Lepisosteus oculatus: one gene and its partners. The protein of the gene in region 1 interacts with the protein of each later gene in a pairwise test. Links are inferred from orthologs where the notes say so. Each region holds a gene or a part of one and is shown in the gene's direction. Other genes may lie near its edges.

Region 1 (6,407 bases):
CCTACATAGACCACAGGGTGCTGGCCCCACTAACACCTCTTCCAGCAGCAACCTCAGCTTTCCCAGGAAGTCTCCCATCCAGGTACTGGACAGGCTCACACCTGCTGAGCTCCAGTGGGGCTGCCAGTCGTGAGTTGCAGGGTGATGCAGCTGCTAGCTAAGGTTTTCTGGCACTTACATGGAATTGCACACATTAAAAATAGAGATCCAGCCTAGGAATGAAAGGCAAACATACTGTATGACCCACGCAGAAAAAAAACCTCTTACAGTAAACAGCATGTGCGCTATGTTTGCAGGAGAGCGTGTGGAATTACTTTTCAATTCTTTTATGGAAGGAGAAAAAGAAACAAACACAGCAGGTCTAGGCAGCTTCCAGGCATTGTGAGCACAGGAACCGGAGGAGGAGAGCGGGAGGGAGAGGGAGAGGGAGAAGGGAGAACGAGACAGGAAGAGTGAGAGGGTGGGAGTGCTGGGACCCGAACTAAAGGTGAAAGGTCATGGTGCCGGCTGGCCCTTTGCTGGGGAGAATCCCAGTTAGAGCTGGACAGTCCGGTCTATCGGACCCGAGGTCAATTTTGGGAAGTGTGTTCTTTTATAGCATCCATCATTTAAATGCCCGACCTGACCAAGGCCATGGACACGGAGCTCACGATCACAAACGACCAGGTCAAATGGTCTCCTCTGACACACCCACCAATCAGAGCTGTTTGCGCTGCGCCGCACTATGACCTAGAACTGGCACTCAGGTGACACCTTCCCGAGGCCAGTGTGAGCTCACAGGCCTATGTCCTGTACCCCTTTTCTCTACACTGTCCCGTGTGGACACAGTTGATAAGGAGGAGAAACCAGCTGTTTTTCTGATAGGGATAAATCTGGGGGGGGGGGGGGTTCTTTGACCGCATGTCTTTGGAAGATTGGAGCTCTATACCACCCCCCCCCAAACCTCCAACACAAATCTAGCAAGAACATGCAAGCTCCACACAGAAGGGTGGCCTGGGCACTTGTACCCAGAACCTTGCAGGTGTGAAAGGGTGCCGTTAACCATCCTGCCACTCTGTGACCTGACATTACAGCCATGCATGTGGAGGACACACAACATGCCACATATCCAGAGTCGAATCTTCTGACCCCTTTGCCCACCAGGGCTGACTGCGGACCACCACAGCCCGAGGCAGACCGCCTGAGCCCAGCGTAGGTCTCTTCCAGGATTTCAGCTACAACCGGAGCAAAGCACTCGGATAAACAAACCAAATAAGCAGAATTTCCCTTTACACGGCTTCCTGATCTGGATTTTGTACTTATAAGGCGAGACGGGGAAGCGATTCCACAAGGGAGAAAGGGGAAAGGGGAGGAGGAGAGGACGGAGATCTACTTTTGTTTCGGAAAAATGGAAAAAAAAAACAAAAACAAAACATTCGCAAAAAAACACGAACGCGACTCTTCCTTGGCAACGGCATCCGTCCTCTGCATGAAAGACAGGAAAGTCATCTCCTCCTGAGTCACTTCCTCAGCAGGTGGCACAGGGAGAGAGCGCTGGCCAGCAGGGCTGGAGAGGCGCAGAGGCGGAGACTGGGAAGGAAAGGAGGGAGAGCAGGTCTGCAGAGCAGGGCTGAAGCTGGACTGGGAGTGAGGCACTGGGGGTCAGAGCTGAGGGACTGGGAGTGAGGCACTGGGGGTCAGAGCTGAGGGACTGGGAGTGAGGCACTGGGGGTCAGAGCTGAGGGACTGGGAGTGAGGCACTGGGGGTCAGAGCTGAGGGACTGGGAGTGAGGCACCGGGGGTCAGAGCTGAGGGACTGGGAGTGAGGCACTGGGGGTCAGAGCTGAGGGACTGGGAGTGAGGCACTGGGGGTCAGAGCTGAGGGACTGGGAGTGTGCCAGGCTGCATTGTGTTCAGTGTCGCAGTGTCAGAGTGCTGGGCTGCAGTGTGTTCAGTGTATCAGTGCCGGGCTGCAGTGTGTTCAGTGTAACAGTGTCAGAATGCCGAGCTGCAGTGTGTTTGTCTCAGTGCTGGGCTGCAATGTGTTCAGTGTCTCAGTGCCGGGCTGCAATGTGTTCAGTGTCGCAGTGTCCGAGTGCCAGGCTGCAGTGTATTCAGTGTCTCAGTCTCAGAGTGCCGGGCTGCAGTGTGTTCAGTGTAACAGTATCAGAGTGCTGGGCTGAAGTGTGTTCAGTGTCTCAGTGCTGGGCTGCAATGTGTTCAGTGTCACAGTGTCAGAGTGCCAGGCTGCAGTGTGTTCAGTGTCTCAGTGCGAGAGTGCCAGGCTGCAGTGTGTTCAGTGTCTCAGTGTCAGGGTGCCGGGCTGCAGTGTATTCAGTGTCACAGTATGAGAGTGCCGGGCTGCAGTGTGTTCAGTGTCAGAGTGCCAGGCTTCAGTGTGTTCAGTGTCTCGGTGCCGGGCTGCAGTGTGTTCAGTGTCTCAGTGCTGGGCTGCAATGTGTTCAGTGTCTCAGTGCTGGGCTGCAATGTGTTCAGTGTCGCAGTGTCCGAGTGCCAGGCTGCAGTGTGTTCAGTGTCTCAGTGCGAGAGTGCCAGGCTGCAGTGTGTTCAGTGTCTCAGTGTCAGAGTGCCGGGCTGCAGTGTGTTCAGTGTCTCAGTGTCAGAGTGCCGGGCTGCAGTGTATTCAGTGTCACAGTATGAGAGTGCCGGGCTGCAGTGTGTTCAGTGTCAGAGTGCCAGGCTTCAGTGTGTTCAGTGTCTCGGTGTCAGAGTGCCGTGCCGCAGTGTGTTCAGTGTCTCAGTGTGAGAGTGCCACGCCGCAGTGTATTCAGTGTCAGAGTGCCAGGCTGCAGTGTGTTCAGTATCTCAGTGACAGAGTGCCAGGCTGCAGTGTGTTCAGTATCACAGTGCCGGGCTGCAGTGTGTTCAGTGTCACAGTGTGAGAGTGCCGCGCCACAGTGTGTTCAGTGTCACAGTGTGAGAGTGCCGGGCTGCAGTGTGTTCAGTGTTAGGGTGCCAGGCTACAGTGTGTTCAGTGGCACAGTGTGAGAGCGCCGGGCTGCAATGTGTTCAGTAGTTCAGTGGTTAATTCAGTTTTAAAGATTCAGCAGCTGCTGCATATTTTGCGACTGCTGGACTGCAGTGTGGGAGTAAACTCCAAGACGAGTGGGGGGGGGGGGAAGACCAATTACACCGAGCCGTGGCGAAGTTACACTGCCAAAAATAAAGATTTTGTTTTTGTAACACGGCTTGTCAGTTCAGTGGCGTCGTTTCCAGTAGCTCCGTGGTTTTTTCAGTGCGCGATCGGCAGTCTGCGGTACAAAAGATACAAGCGCCTCCTCACACTCTCCGCTACAATCTCACAAGGAGGCCGGGCGCTCCGGCGCGCTTGGCGGTCTTCCAGATCGGAGAGACGCGGCTGTGCAAAGAGTATCTGAGGTCAGTGCGCTTTCGCAATGTCGTCTGATTGCTGTAAATACCGTGAGCAACGCGAGCAGAGAGGGACCGAGACAGGGATAAAGTCGCACAGACGATTAGCTCGGAGCAACCTTACGGTCTCGACTCAAGGCAGGTAAACGGGAACGATTTGTGAAAAAGATATAGGACTAAGTAAACACAGACTCCTAGCTCATCTTAGAAGCCCGGACATAAGAAATAAAAAAAGAATAAAACGTTTCGTATGTCAATGCCCTCGGAAAGGTGTAAACAAGTCTATGTTTATGTACAGGGCCACCCTTTCTGTTGAAAAACGCATCAAAGCCCAGTAATCTAAATATATAAATCACCCAGGCAGACATGCACCTGACTCTACTGTATTCCTCTTGCAAAGACCACATCTTGCATGGACGTCCAAAAGCGTCACTGAAAACGTAACAAGCGTTTCGCAAAAAAATTACACAACGTCAGAATGACAAAAATGACAAAAGAAATTAAAAATAAGTTCTGTGTATTTCTCAGCGGCAGCCAGAATATTTTAGGTAAAAACAATTAATGAAGGACACCCGCCTTCTCACATTTAACCACTCGAGATTAGCAACAGAAACAAGTCTGGTAACAAACTTGAGAGTTGTGACGTTTTCTAAACCGCCGGATTCCCCACAAACACACAGCAGCATCATTAACAAAAAAAGTAAGAGACATTCAAATAAACTTCGAAAAACTGATTTCAATTCTGTCCTCTCCAATAGTTGGAACTGTAACAAAAAAAATGCTCCCCAGTTCAGCTCGTTGCGTTCTCCCAAGATGTGTTTTTCAAGGACTACAGCAAAGCGACAGGGCATGTTATATAGACAGAGACGGAGTGATACATCACCTGGTTAAACAGCGTGGCCTAAATTCCTAGAACCAGCTGCCTCGCCGGCTTTTGAGGAAATAATATTCCAAGAAACAGCAAGAGCTCAATTCTGAGAACCCAAGTAGCGGCGCGTCACACTCTCGCCAGCCGTAGGGGTGCCCCTACTTTCTTGTCACGGCAGATCAGCGTTAAAGTGTTTCTGTTTTTCATTTTCACCCAAAGTTTGTAATAATAGCTGAATTGAAAGCGACTCACGCCTATCGGCAAAAGACAAGTATATTTCGGGGAAAGTTTCTTAATCCCCTTCACCCTTAAGCACCCCTCTCTTCACTTTGTGTAGTACAACCTGCTTAAAATGAATGTCACATGTCCCTCCCCGGGTAAACACGCTGATCTCAGCGCAATTTCTCAGAAGCGTGTTGGCAGAGGTTGATGTAATTTTAAACTCTCAGTGCTTTTATTCGGGGGTCGGCTGGCGTTTCTCGTACAGTTCGGGGGTCTTTCGGGGAAATTTTGGATCTTGGTACTACGGAACTTGGGTGTCAGTGTATTTTTAGTGAAGCGTGGGTTGTGTGGTGGTTTGTGTGTGTGTGCGCTCGCCGTGGGGAAGGTGAAAGTAAGCAGATAGATTTCTCTTCTTGTTCTCGTAATGACTAGTCAACCGGCGTGTGCGGCTTCCAGCAATATCATCGAAATTTAATTTCACCTGGATTCACCTGGTTGGTATCCACACATGATATCCAAAAGACGCCTTTTTCCCCCATAAGAAGAAGTAAACAGATTTTAAGCAAAACCCTTGGTTTTTAGTACTATAAATTAGAAACAAACTCCTGACAGTGCTAATTCACAATCGTGAAGGATCAAGGGATTTAGAAGAACAAGGGTTCTCTTGCAAAACGTTTAGAAATACTGAGCCATATTGCAGTTGACGGAACTGTCAATGGCGCATTTTCAAAGCTGTAATATTCAAGTTCTGTAACAGGTGCTAATTCATCCACCTTTTCTGTAAAACACACACACAGTTAATTTGGGGTTCAGCGGTTCGATCTTGTGAGGTTCAGACCTATTTTAATGAGGTGATATTGCAGATGGTTTCGCGTTTATTTCATGGTGACAATGGAGTAAACGAGTCGTCAGCGGCTGGGTTACTGGTGCTCCCAGGACTGTTTATATCAGAGAATATACGTAGATCACAATCTGTCTTTGAAAATACATGTTAACTATACTTGCGATAAAGTACAACAGCAAATTTACTTGCTCCACAGTTTGCAATTTGTTATTGTACCAGTTGTCAGATTTTGTGTGAACAGAGTGTGTCGAATAATCGTCTGGTATAACAGTCGGTCTGTGCAACAAAAGGCGGAGATGTCCAGACTTGGCAGGACGTGCTCTCAGTCAGCAGGGCGGCCCCGAGAGCAGAGCTCTGGAGCTGCTTACACCCGGGGTGCACAGGGACCGGCTGCTGGGGTCTCCTCTGACCCCTCGCTTGTTCTGCATGAAGAGTCCCGCCTCCCCCACGGCGGGCCTAACGTAATGAGCCATGCCTTTTCCCCAGATTCAGAGGACTCGATCAATAACGGAGCGTTGGTCTTTGGGCGAGTGCGATGAGTGGTGTGTGCTCAGTGAGGAGGGAGTGTGCAGTTATCGAGGCTCAGGGTGATCGTGGGCCAGGAAGCTGACAGGTTCTCGTAAGCTTTGCAAAATCCGGTGGGAAGGACGTGTAATGACTGATGTATGGGTTGACGTCTTTTATGTCATGTTATATTGATTTTTCGTGTAGTGTTTGTATGTTTTTTTGTAAGCCTCTCTGTTTGTAAAACATCCCATGCCTTCAAAACAATTTTCTGATAAATCGGGCAATAAAGTATAATCGTATATAGCTATTCAGTTCGGTTTAACACCCTATATGGCTTCGGTTATATCCTTCATGATGCTACAAAAAAAAAAAACTTAAGCCTGTTTATGAATTTCTTTCTTCTATGTAAAGCTCATTTTTGGCGCACGGGGCAGCTACACCCTCGGCCTGTCAGTGTCCAGAGTAGCAACCCATCTCGACCACAGAACCACGTCTCAGGGCGGTGACGCAATTGGAAAACGGTGACGAAATAGGCCTGGAAAGTAGAGGCAGGATCCTTAAAAAAACTTTCAAAGTCGGGGTAGAAAAAAAAGGAGA
Region 2 (6,407 bases), on another chromosome or scaffold:
TACGTCTGCCACTGCCAAACAACCGCAATACAAGAGTAGAAATGATGTCCTGTTGATGTGTTTTTTCATTCCTACATGGTGGTGTTCAGCTCTCGCAAACAATTTGATCACTTCTCTGCTCTTTGAGAAATCATATATAAATGCAATTCCAGAACACCAAAATTCGAGTGTGTAGAGGCTTTAAACCAATTATATGACTTTCTACGAAAGTGCTATTTTGGAAATGCCTTATTTATTTTGCAACTTTCGTTGCCATAAATCACTAGCTCGACCACAAGGGAAAAGTTAGTGGTCCTATAATTCATGGGCTTCATCTTTAAAAGAGATTAAATCTGAAATAGACTGGCGATAGGAGATATCTTATGTCAAAAAATACAGCGAGCTCTTATTCTGACTAATTTTAACTTCGGTCTTTAAAGAGAATTTGCTTCTAGAAATACACTTGCACCGTAAATAGCGGAGACCGCGGTATCGGTTATTTCAATCCTGGTAGATACTGTACACATTTCCCATCCGTGCTCGCTTGCAGTTGTTCCAGCCTGGCGTGCTGAGTGAGCTACTGTACAACCGGGACTTCAGAATCTCAGCGATACGCTCGGCAGGTAGAGAGAAAAGTATGAGGTCATTGTTTAATCACGTGACTGCTGCAGCATCTGTCAAAAGTGATACCATTACTAAAACATAACAGCGCGTCCCCAGCCAGCTTACCAGCTCTGGGGAGCTCTGCCCACTCCCAGCTGATTAGGTTTCCATCAGCCTTTTAGGGACCATCGACAAAGTTTACAGCAAACGCGTACAGTGCGTCTTCTCTTTATTTTTTTCATCGTGTAATTGAGCAAACATTTTTCAAATTAATTTCTCGAACTTGTGTGCTTATGCCTTACTGGTGTGGTCATTTGCAGCTGACAGAACTATATCTGCATACAATGCTTGGCAATTGCCTGCATAGTCAATGAAAAGATTTTATTACCCCTGTGCAATACAGACCTTGAGTTAAAAACCTTAAATATACTGTAGCCCTAACCACTGAATGTAAACAGATTAGTAACCAGATCTGATATGACCTGGGCAAGGCCTCACCTAAAGTTTAGTCAGTCAGCCTCTGTTGTCATATTTTATCTAGCACATATAAAACACAACAGAGCACAGCAAACGTGCTGTACAGAAAAGAAAAGAGTATGAACCCGCTTTAATGGTTAATAATTACAACAAGACCACAAATGCAAGTTTTTGCATTAAACTGCAAAACAAATTGACTGCATTTTTAATCTGCTTCCCTGTGCTGACAGTCCTGTGACCCTGCAGGGGTGAGGTCAGACCTCTGCAGCAGGTGAGCTAATGAGGACACATGCAGCTGTGCCTCCCTCTGTACTGGCTATCCTGGTTTGGAGTCAGAACTTTGAACTGTTATATCTCATTCTGCAGTGCAGCAGGGAAGCAGAGAAAACCTCATTATTATCATCATGACTCAGGACTTTCCTTTTTGACCGGGACCAACATCTTGACAGGCACTGCCGAAGAACAAGACTCAATACTTCCCAAAGCGCAGGGCCTGTCTGACACCCCCACTGGAGCTGGCCTGCCCTGGTGTATTTTAATGGCATTGACTGGGCCAGCCAGACACTGAACAGTTCTCTGACTTTCAAAACAAGGACCTGCAAAGTGGGGTCGCAAGGGGGGGCTGCAGTCCATGCTCCAGGCTGGATATACAGGGGTGTCCTGTGTACAGCTCTTGCCTGACACCAAGCTGCCTGTTGCCTTGTCTGAAACAGGGGCTAAGAGCCCTCATCTACCCAGACTGGACCAGCCCCAGGTGAGATACTTGTGCAGGAAGCATGCCAGCAATTAGTACAAATAATAAAATTAAGTTTGCAATAATTTACACTGCTAATTTTATTATACAATGTAAATGGCATAATTCACTGCATACTGTAGCCCTTTCATTTTCATGGTATGGGTCCCTGGGAATTAGACCTTACCATGAGAAGATTTGATACTGTAGGTCTACAAAATATAAGCATGCTTGTGGACTAAGAATTGGTACACAATAGCTCCTCATAAATTATTAAATCACACCACTGTGTCCATTCTAGTTCAGTTTTCGGAAGGGACTGGCCTCAGGGAAACATCGTCTAGCAGCTAGGAAAGGTTATAAATGATAAATGGCCAATTAGTCGGTTGTGCTTGAAGGTTTGAATGTCTGTGGAAGCATGTAAAACGAGGACACAGACAAGAGCAGGAGCCCCGCCAGTCTGCCTCCAGCACACCTACATACAGTACAGTATCAGCCAGAAAATATTGGCGAGGTAACAGCTCACGCTGTTCGCTGAACTACAACCGAGTCACTTTTGACAGAGTCCCTGAGCTCGGACTCTTACTCCGCCTCTGTCGCAAGCCTTCTCGAGTTGGCATCATAGCCCTTACAAGTGAGACTGGAGAAAAGAGTGGGATAAGTGGACTAATCGAGCGACAGGCGAATCAGAGTTTGTCATGCGGGGACAGGAGCTTTAGTTATGTTTGGACCCGTTAGAAGGAAGCCTATGCATTGCATATTGGAACTTTACAGCGGGGCTTGCTGAAACGCCCGGAGGAGCGTGCTCAGCGTGTGTCTCTCCTCCGTGAATGTGCTGGCTCAGAAAGAGGAAGGAAAGCCCTTAACTGCCAAATTTGGCAGCCGGGGAGGAGAAATGCCATTTTCAGTTATTTTGCTAGGGAGCGCAGGCAGACGAGACTGGGAGTAATATTTGCCCGGCAGGACGTTGCCTTTTAACCGATGAAAACCGGGGCGGTTAAAATGTTGATTTTCTGCGAATTATGGCAAATGGAACAGGCACGATTATGCTGAAATGTGTGGTTGTTGGAGACGGCGCTGTCGGCAAAACTTGCCTTCTGATGAGCTATGCCAACGACGCTTTTCCAGAGGAGTATGTTCCTACTGTCTTTGACCATTACGCAGGTAGGCGACTTTTCTTACAGCACCAGAGACATTTCATTGTTCAGTAAGCTGGAGTGCAACAGAACCACAACCGCGCTGTACCAGTGATACACACAGAGCTGGAGACTGTAATGCAAGACGGCTCTGTTAATATAAATCAAAGATGGATGTTTAAATGCCGCGGCTATTAATAAAATAACTTATTGTCTCGAAATGTAATTGAAAGAATCCGTACGTTCTGACGTTAGTTACTGTACATAAAATCCGCCGCGCAATAAACAGCTCAATGTATTTGTACGTATTTATGCTTTTAAATAAATTAATTTATATAGGAGCTTGTTATTGTACAAAGGATTCGTAAAAACTGAAATATAAACTTTTCTCCCCCCCCCCCCCCCCGCTCTTAGTCTAGTTTGCCGCTATTCCCAGACGCATAGATGGTGGCCTTGCAGTGGAATCTTGTTATTCTAATTAAAACCACTTGCTTTGCTTTCTACAGTGTCTCCTTTCTTTCTCTGTCTCTCTACAGCGATGATTGTTTCTTCTTTCTTACAGTTAGCGTTACGGTCGGAGGAAAACAGTACTTGCTGGGACTGTATGACACCGCCGGCCAGGTACGGTACTCTTCTGTCTCTGCAGATACAGATGTACAGTTTACCAAGACCACAAGAGAATAATCAAGAACATATGCTTTTAGAGATTTTTTTCTCGTTGGTGCTTTTGTCATAGTACAGATATATTGCTTTTACATTCATGCATGTTGTAAAGGACTGGAAGGCAGTCCTACTTAAATCTTAGATCTCGATGTCTGATGAGTATCACCCTTTATAAAAACTGAATACTTCACTTAGATTAGTTTTGTGACTTTAAAGGAGCATAGAAAATCCAGTGTCTTAAGTATTGGATAACTTTCATTTCAATCGGAAATGCATTTAAACACAGCTGTAAATCATTTCGACATGTTATGTGGCCAGTCTGAATTGCTGTTTGAATTCTTCCCTTTTTTCAGTCTTGAGGACAGAAGAAATTTCTTTTCTGTCCAGTGAGTCACCGTGTGCCCTAAGTGCAGAGACCTCTCCAGCCTTCCTCCTGCAGTTCTAGAATTGTGAAGTCTTTTTTTTTAGCTTGCCCTCTAGACAGGAATAACTGATCTCTGCTGGGTTACTCAAATAACTAACAAAAATAGCACTGTGGAGAAAAGAGTGAATTGACAATGCACTGAACCCAGGCGTACAGTACCATGATAGGTGTGATTGTTTTTGTGTCCTGTTTTACTCTCACACAGACATGGGACCCAGTTATGTTCCATTTTTGCATGCTGTTCACTTCAAAGTTAGGACCAGTCACTTAGTCATTTTGCAGTCAAGGCTTTAGTGAAATCAGGAATAATCCGTATAGATTTTAAGGATTTAGCATGGAAGCTGGTCGGATGAGAAGGATATCGCCTGTCCATAGTGTAGCAAGTCGCAATTCCCACATGTCCAGTAGCTGTATCTGCACTGACAGTGCTTTGCCACCCCAGTGCCTCCCTGCACCTCTCAGTGCTCATTCCCCTCGGCTTCCCATTGCAAAGGCTGGACTGACAGTAAAGACAGGGCTTGACTCTGTCATCACCAGCTGTGGAAGAAAACGCCATGCACAGGCCAGCACACACATTTTACATGATACCCTTCTAAAACGAGAGCTTTTTTTTTGTTCCTAAGCAGCTGTGCAGCTGTTATCTGGCTTCCACACTTGTGGCAGGAGGTCATGTGGTTGCTTGGAAAGTTTTCTGTGGGTCTTTTGAAAGATTTTGTGTCAAATCTTTTGGTGCCTGGAGCTCGAGGTTTAGTAACTAAGAAACACAAATACTATACAATCAGAGAAAATTGGTAGTATAACTTATACTAGTATTTACAGTTTAGCAAAATCAAGTGACAGTAGTGCGCTTATTGCTATTTTACTGTCTGTTTCGGAGGCAGAATTGGTCAAAGACCACATTTTAGCTGAATCAGTTTATTTGAGAATGGAGAAGTTCAGCAGATGCTGAGTCTTAAGAGCTGTGGCAGCCTTATTGTATGGCCAAAGAGAGTTCCTTTTCTTCAAAAGAAACGGAAGTTCAAATGCCTACTGTAACTCCTCATCTCCCAAGTACAGCTAACCAGCTATTAGCACTTATAAATTAAAAGAACTGGCTGATTTGTAACTGTGTGTTTGAAACAAGTAGGTCTGATCAGTTAAAGGGTGTGCTTTTGTCAGCTCCGTTGAGTATGAGAATCCGGAATAGGGCTTTACGTCTTCTTTTTCTCGCAGGAATAAAAAACGTTGCAATAATAAAACCTCCCATAATTAGAGGCAGCATGTAGCAGTTCCTAGGCACAGTCTTGAGAATCCCAAGGCCAGCAGCCCAGTTCTCCAATCTTTCCAGGAGATAGAGTTAATAATTTTGCCCCATGTGCAACCTTACTGTATATAGAATGCTTATTTACCTGTCATTAAAGGACAAACCTCACAGCTAGCGCTTTTCTGGAATCACTTTGCTCTTTGAAGTTTCATGGGAAGCATCATAGTTGATGTGTATGTGACTGTGCAGCTGAAACATCTTAACATCTTGATTGGTTTTATGTAAATTAAAATTGTGTCGTACTGACATGTGAAGCCTTCCCATTCAGTGTGCTTGTTTCTAAATGATAGTGAGAATACCATTGGACGGAATGTACACAATGTTCAGTGTCACACTTATGAAGTAATGTAAGAGTTATCATCTGCAGTGTGTAATGTTAGGTTTGTCCCTGTGGTTTATTGTCACTTTTAATGATATAGTACAAAGAGTTACCATTTAGTGTCTGTTTGTTGCCATTGAAGGAAAAAGGCTGCACAGTCATGCAATGTTGTCCAGACAGAGAAGGACATTGTGAAACCTCCATGTGTTTTGGAGAACTGAGCCGGGGGTTTGGAAATGTGGCCAAAGCCTTCTCAGCCAGAGTCCTGCTGCATTCTTCCCATTACAGCCTTCACTGGTGTACTAAACTCCAAGCAAGCCATGGAGTCGACATCCATGCTAATCAGTAATTTCATATTCTCTGTGGCACACTGGTGCTTAAAGAAACAAAAGATCTGGAAAACACATGTTCTGGTGTATGTGTCCATGTTTCTGCTGCTCTGGTTTCCAGCACTGTTCCAGCTTGCACTAATGGAATTTTGGTACACCAGGCTTCAACATTACTTAAGACTGAGAAACTTTTGAAACTGTCGAAAATCTCCACGCCATATTTCCTAAATGGTTTTAATTAAATTTTGAGAGCCCAGCCTACAGTATGTTCTCCTTAGATGTTTATCACAGCTGCACAGTCAGATGAATTGCCAAGACAAAATGCTAAGAGAGAATTAAAGAGGCCTAGTTGGAATACCAAGCTTTCACCTTTTCTCACAATGAAAACAAACATGGTATTAGATTATTATGCCTTTAACTTCTTACTTAGCTCAGTGTCCT
Region 3 (6,407 bases), on another chromosome or scaffold:
GTCAAAACATGATGTGTGTTTTGTGTGTAACAAATGTTTGATCAAAGCAGCATGGGAGACTGTATGGAGCCGAGGGAGTGAGGCTGTAGGGTTAGTTTTTAGAGCTGATACCCTCTTTCTGGGGGAAATTCATTTTTAATGTGCTTGTTAATGCGTCCAAAGGAAACTAAAGAACTCAGTTTGTCTAGACTGTGGCAATGAAGTTTCACACAGGTTGCAAACAATTTGTGGGCAGGATCATTTCATATTTTTCTAGAAAAATGCCAGATCAGGTATCCTGCAGTCATCCTTGCAGTAATCTTTCTTATATAATGGACAATATATTTAGTCAGAAATTGTGTTTTCAGCCTCCTTCACTCAGCTCATCAAAACACGAAGAACTGCTTATGGACCATAGGCAGGCTGATTCCTGTACAGTGAGCTCCCCCTGTGGTCTGTAGTGTGCTCAGCTACTGCAGTAAGCATCCCGATTCCCTTAACTTGTATTATCATGTTAATGCTATAATACAAGTTTCCTGTAATTGTAGTTTAAACTGGTAATAAACCAACAAAATGTGGATCCCTATTGAACATTACATACTGGAGAGGGCTGGAAACAGAATATTAACAGTCTCATACAGACTTTTGTTTTCTGTCAATAGTAGACTGATTTTGTGTAGCTCCCAATTAGATGACACATGTCAGCCATTATATGACAGCAGCTGCAGATAAGGTAACATAACATAACATAACATAACATAACATCACTTTATTAGCCCTATACAATTTATTGCATTAAGAATTTTTCTTCGAATACCCCAGCTTACTCTCCATGAAGAGGAGGTAGAAGAGTGAAACTGAAGGAGGTCAAAGTGTGCAGGCACTAAGTGGAATTCAGTCAGGATATTGTTAACATCCCTAAACATATGAATACTGCAATAGGATCTTTACCAAATAGTAAGGGCTTCAGTTTAACGTCCCTTCCAGAGAAAGAACCTGCTTCAACCCTGTATCTCTGCTCACTATTCTGGGGAACGGGGGTGGAAATTTTGGTCCAGCCTTTTGACAGTTTAGGCCAGGGGTAGTTAACTTTGGCACCCTAGATTATCAGCCACTCCAGGATTTTACTCCATTTTATCTTTAATTTTCTGGTAAATTAATTAAGGATCAATTCCCCCCAGGCTCAAAATGCTGTAATGCCAAGAATTCCAGTTGTCAAGGTTGACTACCCGTGGTTTAGTAGGCAGTCACTCGTCATTATTCTTGATGTTACTCTTATTTCACAAATACCGAATACAAATACAGAAAAAGACATGCCGACGCCAAGGGCTTCTCCTTCATAACCGATTTACTGCGATCCTCACAGTACTTTGTAACGGTAAACTCTCCCTCTGCTCACTTAAACCGTTTGAATTTTTATATTTCTTCGTGTAAGCTTGCTCAGGGAGTTTCTTGTTGATTTACCAGTTGTCTGTGACCGCCTGAGTTTTGTTTTTATCCGTTTATGAGAAAATATTGATTTTTCACAAACTTCCAATTCCTACAGACGCATCTAAACTGTTTTTCTGGATTTTACGTTAGTTCGAATTGTAACCTCATTATCCGATGATTGCTGTACAAAATACTCTAAACTTTATTAATATTTGTTATATTTATTACTACTGTATATAATTATTTTCTATTTATCCATTCTGCGCCTTCGAAAAAACGTCCCATACCGCTGAGCTGTTCCCGGTCGCCGCTTGATGTCGTCAGGAAAAGGTCCGGAAACGAGAACGGTTGTTATGGAGAAGCATTTCCCCTGAGGGATAGAAAGAGAGAGAGAGGAACTGGAAAATAGAGCGAGAGAGCGAGGACGGGAAGCACGAATGGGAAAAGTGAGGAAGCTGTGACAGCGGCTCCTTCAACAGGTAGGTCGATCATCGTTTGATTTTGTTTCTTTCATGCCTTGTACTGTTTTCAATGGCTTATCGGAGCTACTTCGAATTCGGAGCAAAGCCAGGCGAAGCGGCGGCGTAGTTGCGGGAAGTTCAGCAGCAACACGATGTCAGTGGCAGGCAGCACCGCTCACCTCGCCGTGGCGGCTGAGTTCACGGGGCTGACTCCATAGCTGTTCTGTCTCTTTCTCCAAAAGGCTAGGTTGTGTCGGAATCGGGTAGGCGTTGCTTTGCACTCGTTTTCTGCAGGGGTGTGAAGAGTTGCCCTTTTCGTTTTCTTATGGGAGTTTCTCAAGCAGCGCAACAGGCGGCTCTGGGATCTTGATACTGGCCTGACGTGTCTAGCGTGTGTCAGGGTTGCTTTTAGTCTCTCACTTTTACTATTGTTGGAGAGATGCTGAGAGACGTGGTGGGTGCGAGTTCGCTTCATTTAACCTGTAGAGAGAGACAGGGAAAGCCTATTTCATGCTCTAACAGAACCGCGGTTTCTGTCCAGACTGAACAATTAAAATGGTGCTGTAATTAAGTCTCTGTCATCACAGTGACCTGACATTGTCTTCTTCTGTCCTACAAGAGAGAGCAGCGTGCTGTTTTTGTAAGTACTATCATTTTTTAAAACTTTTTACAACCCAGAGGCTCAGCCGTAGTAGCCTATTAAGGTCGGATTTCTATATGCTGAGGGAGCAGTGAGTGAACATCATATACAGTAATTAACCTGACGTGACTATGGTTTTAAAGACCGAAAGTTCAAATGATAAGGGTCAGGAAAAGTAAAGGTTACAATAACAGCGGTCTCAGATACAGTACTGTACGGTATTCCCTATCTCTAAACTGGTAGCACGGACACTTTATCAACTGTATAAGACTGTTCCTTAGCACGCTGACTGACAGAACTGATTGGATACTGGCAAATGCAGCACGCTGACTGAATGAATGGCTGGCACAGAGAGACTGCTGACTGAGGGACACTCTCCCTGACTGACGCATTGCTCGAGATACACCAGCAGCTCCCTCTCCTTACTCTCTTCACACTGCTGTGCTGGGCCTCCTGCCAGGGACAGCATCATCTTTGAGCACTCCTTCCAATTCAGCAATTTCATGCATTCTTGTAAAGTAATTGAGCTGCAATTTTATGCTACTTTACATTTATGACCTAACGCTGCTTTGTTCCGTGTTCTTTGAGTGTGTGTGTTCATGCGTGTTTCAGGGCCATTTTTGACTTCTGCTGTATGGCCGCAGTGAAATACAGTGGGAGTTTCCTGGTGCTGTTTAGTCAGCAATGGAACTTGCTTCTCATTTCCTAAAATTGGATCGAATTCTGTTTGTGCCGATTGAGACTGTCTCCAATATGCAAAAACTACTTCAGAAAGAGTGTCAAAATATGGGCTCGGATCCACAGAGATGGACACACGATTAGAAAATGGCAACGGCTGGCTGAAAGTCTGAGAAGAAGAAAGTAGTGGAGTTGGAAATGTCACGTTTCCCCTGCACACACAGATAGCCGAGTAAGACAGTGAACAAGAGGGGAAAACACATCGCTAGGATGCGTGTTGTACATTTAATTGTCTCCAAATGATGTGTCTGCATGAGATCCTGGGCTCGCTGAGCAAGCAAAGCCTTATAATGTAACAAAGGTCAGGGTGGCTGATTGCCTCCTAGACAGACCAACACTTGCAGGGACACCACCAGAGAGTACAATGGGGGGAAGGGCTCAACAGGTGAATTTTTACACTTTCAAAAATGGAAGATCAAAAAGGAGTCGGCATGTCCCAGCGCTTGTTGTTTGTCCCTGTGACAGTTTGGGTCCAGTTCAGTGAAGATGGTAGGAAATTTGTTTTTGGGAGAGTCAAGTTTTTACCAAAACCTTAAACCAGAGTGCCCTGTGATGAGCATAGATTGTGATGAGTTTAAAAGGCACATATATTTGGAAATTATTTTATATGCAGGATTATACTTGTCATGGATTCTAGAAACTTATAGAGTGTTCATTTGGAATCGGTGTGCAGGTGGAACAAATTTTGCAGTTCAGCAAAAAGTTTTGAGCATTGTTTTAACTGTTTCTCTGGGTTTCTCTGCAGCTTGCCGGCTGTGCAGGTTTTGTGCTGTCACTGAGGCTCTGAATGCCTCAGCTCACATGACCTGGATTAAAGTCCACCTGCCTCAGCCTGAGAGCTTTCCTGGCATTGTGACTTAATTGTGTGCAAAACTGTTAGAAAGCCAGAGGGGAAAAATGGTTTATACAAATATTAACCACAGGCTTAACCTACTTCACAGTGTTTCGGGTGAAGGGAAATCTTTTACCCAGTGCACACATGATGCAGATACAGTCTGTCACAATTTGTTTTAAAGCTCATATCAATTCCAGGTACCTTGTACAGTTTTAAAGCCATCATTTGTAATGGAAAAGTCTTTCAATGAGTTTTGTTGGCACAGCTGTATTGCCTGGTTTTCAATACACTGCTACAAGACGTTTGTTGAGGTTTGTAGGATCTGGGCCTAATGGATCTCCTCTCAGATCTCTCTTTCATGTTTCTGTGAATGCAGTTTTAAAGGAGCACCTGCTCATGCTGATTACCATATCACAAGGCCTGATACCAAAGGACTTACAGTAAAACTATAATTAGCAAGCGAACCAATAAGAATTGAGCTGATTTCAAAAGTGAACTGACACTCAGCTAAATAGATAAGCATATCTAGATGCCTATATCCCTGTCTCAGGTGATACATTTCAGTATAGCTCATTTCTTAAACTTTGCTGTTAAACAGCATTGTAGAAGCATGTACAGTACCTTTGTTCCGTGAAGCACAGAGTCAAATATTAAGAAAATCAGTAAGTCTTTTGAAAGGAAACAGGCAAAACTATGCAAAGATATATTCTAAACATACCTCTGTATCTTTCTCCTGCTCTCTCATTCTCTGTATTTTTATTTTGTGATTAGTTTCATTTTTCTTGTTTTATTCTTTGCTCGGTCAATCAGGGGCCATTTGTCCCTGCCAATGATTCCAGTCTGAACTGTAAGATATTCTGTGGTTATCTGGGCTCCGTTCCCACAGTCCGAGAGGGAGAACTTGACTGTTTTAAAAGGCAAAACAAACAGGAGACACTGTTATCAAAGGGCATCTGTATCATTACTCCAGCAGAAATACGACTTGTACTAGGCAAAGGTCAGTGAGGAAGTCACATTGGATTTCTTCCACCAAATATGAATGATTTGTGGAATCCTTCAGCAGACGTAAACTCACAGAAAGGTCCAAGCAGACCCACACAATATGTGTTGTGAGCTTTGTTGGATTACAGAAAAGCTCTCTGTAAAAAGTGTTTCAGATTCAGTCTGATATTTAAAACATTTGCAGTTTGTGCACTGTGAATTATAGCTGACAAGTAACTCCAACTATATTATTAAATGATTGTTAGAGATGCACATCAACTCCAAAGTTTAAACATAAAATAGGTATGTGCTCTTGCTGAACTCTTTCCCTTTGTGGCTGGGTGAGAACTTATAAGATGCTGTTCGGCGTGTGTCGGCGTGATATAATGCTTAAGGGTTTTGCAGTGAAAGGCAAGAAAACGCTCCTGGATGGGGTGGCTGTGGTGGTGACACAAAACAGAGCCGAGAGCGACCTTTCAGTGACCCCAGCACTGAAAGCAGGAGGGGGTCAGCCAGGGGCCAGCGCTGAAGGTGTGTTTTGGGGAGTGGCACAATCAGGAGAATGGCTATCATTGTATCCTGTGCTGTTTTATTTCCCCCAATATAGGGAGCGCAGCTCTTTCTCAAGAGGTCACTCAGGGCAGCACACCAATGGAAACAGGCTGATAAACTGATAGGAAATCTGTTGTGCAGCTTTTATAGTGTGTTGCTATGATTAGCATCATAAGAGTTATGTGATGCGACTCTGTACAGTTTAGATGTTATTGGAAGCGGTATTTTGAAGAAGTGGCAGTAAATGTTTGTGCCACACCTTTGTCAAGGTAATGAGTGTCTGAAATAAATATGTGTAACGTTTTGTTAATTGTTTGTTGTTGACACTTTGATTGCATCAATAAATCGTTTTGAATTTGCAGTGTTCAAAGCCCCTTCAGATACTCTGTCTAACAGGGTAATAGAGAATCTTAAAAATAACTCCCTGTATAACACTCAAATTTGCTTTAGCTTTATTTATTCCTCCACATAATTGGCTTTATGTGGAGGAAGGCTGGATGTGTCGGAACATGTGCTCTCATAACATTAATGATAATGGGTTAGGGCTTGGAAAAAAATATATACTTCTGTTAGGAGCAGCAGATATTATTTCCATGCTGGGCAGTTCCAGTTTATAAAGAAAGAAAGGAAGACGACAATTTTTCCTTCCTCCTTTTGGAGCTGAATAGTCCTGGCACCTGAAGGCCGGGCTGTCCTGTTTGTAGTTCCCAGCCTTCCTGTTTTTCCCCTCAGTTTGGGCCTGCTTCCTCCTCTTGAGCTGTAACTTCACCTGCCTCTCCAGCCTGAGCTG

The links.
Region 2: the proteins of trip6 (region 1) and rhoq interact in a two-hybrid assay, tested with the Homo sapiens proteins (2 studies listed by BioGRID and IntAct). The two-hybrid records come from large-scale screens. The link is inferred for Lepisosteus oculatus from reciprocal best matches to the Homo sapiens genes TRIP6 and RHOQ.
Region 3: the proteins of trip6 (region 1) and ppp1r16a interact in binary tests that used the Homo sapiens proteins (3 or more experiments, as listed by UniProt). The two-hybrid records come from large-scale screens. The link is inferred for Lepisosteus oculatus from reciprocal best matches to the Homo sapiens genes TRIP6 and PPP1R16A.

The regions. Positions count from the first base shown.
Region 1 is NC_090698.1:9,104,421-9,110,827, reverse strand, and holds the start of trip6 (thyroid receptor-interacting protein 6), read left to right. Parts: upstream 1-3,162; 5' UTR 3,163-3,378; intron 3,379-4,252; exon of another isoform or gene 4,253-4,341; intron 4,342-4,661; exon of another isoform or gene 4,662-4,953; intron 4,954-4,973; exon of another isoform or gene 4,974-5,764; intron 5,765-5,778; exon of another isoform or gene 5,779-5,966; intron 5,967-5,997; exon of another isoform or gene 5,998-6,331; intron 6,332-6,337; exon of another isoform or gene 6,338-6,407. UniProt on the Homo sapiens protein: Relays signals from the cell surface to the nucleus to weaken adherens junction and promote actin cytoskeleton reorganization and cell invasiveness. Involved in lysophosphatidic acid-induced cell adhesion and migration.
Region 2 is NC_090712.1:13,380,376-13,386,782, reverse strand, and holds the start of rhoq (rho-related GTP-binding protein RhoQ), read left to right. Parts: upstream 1-2,389; 5' UTR 2,390-2,814; coding exon 2,815-2,956; intron 2,957-3,490; coding exon 3,491-3,549; intron 3,550-6,407. UniProt on the Homo sapiens protein: Plasma membrane-associated small GTPase which cycles between an active GTP-bound and an inactive GDP-bound state. In active state binds to a variety of effector proteins to regulate cellular responses. Involved in epithelial cell polarization processes.
Region 3 is NC_090701.1:29,031,584-29,037,990, forward strand, and holds the start of ppp1r16a (protein phosphatase 1 regulatory subunit 16A), read left to right. Parts: upstream 1-1,785; 5' UTR 1,786-1,889; intron 1,890-6,407. UniProt on the Homo sapiens protein: Inhibits protein phosphatase 1 activity toward phosphorylase, myosin light chain and myosin substrates.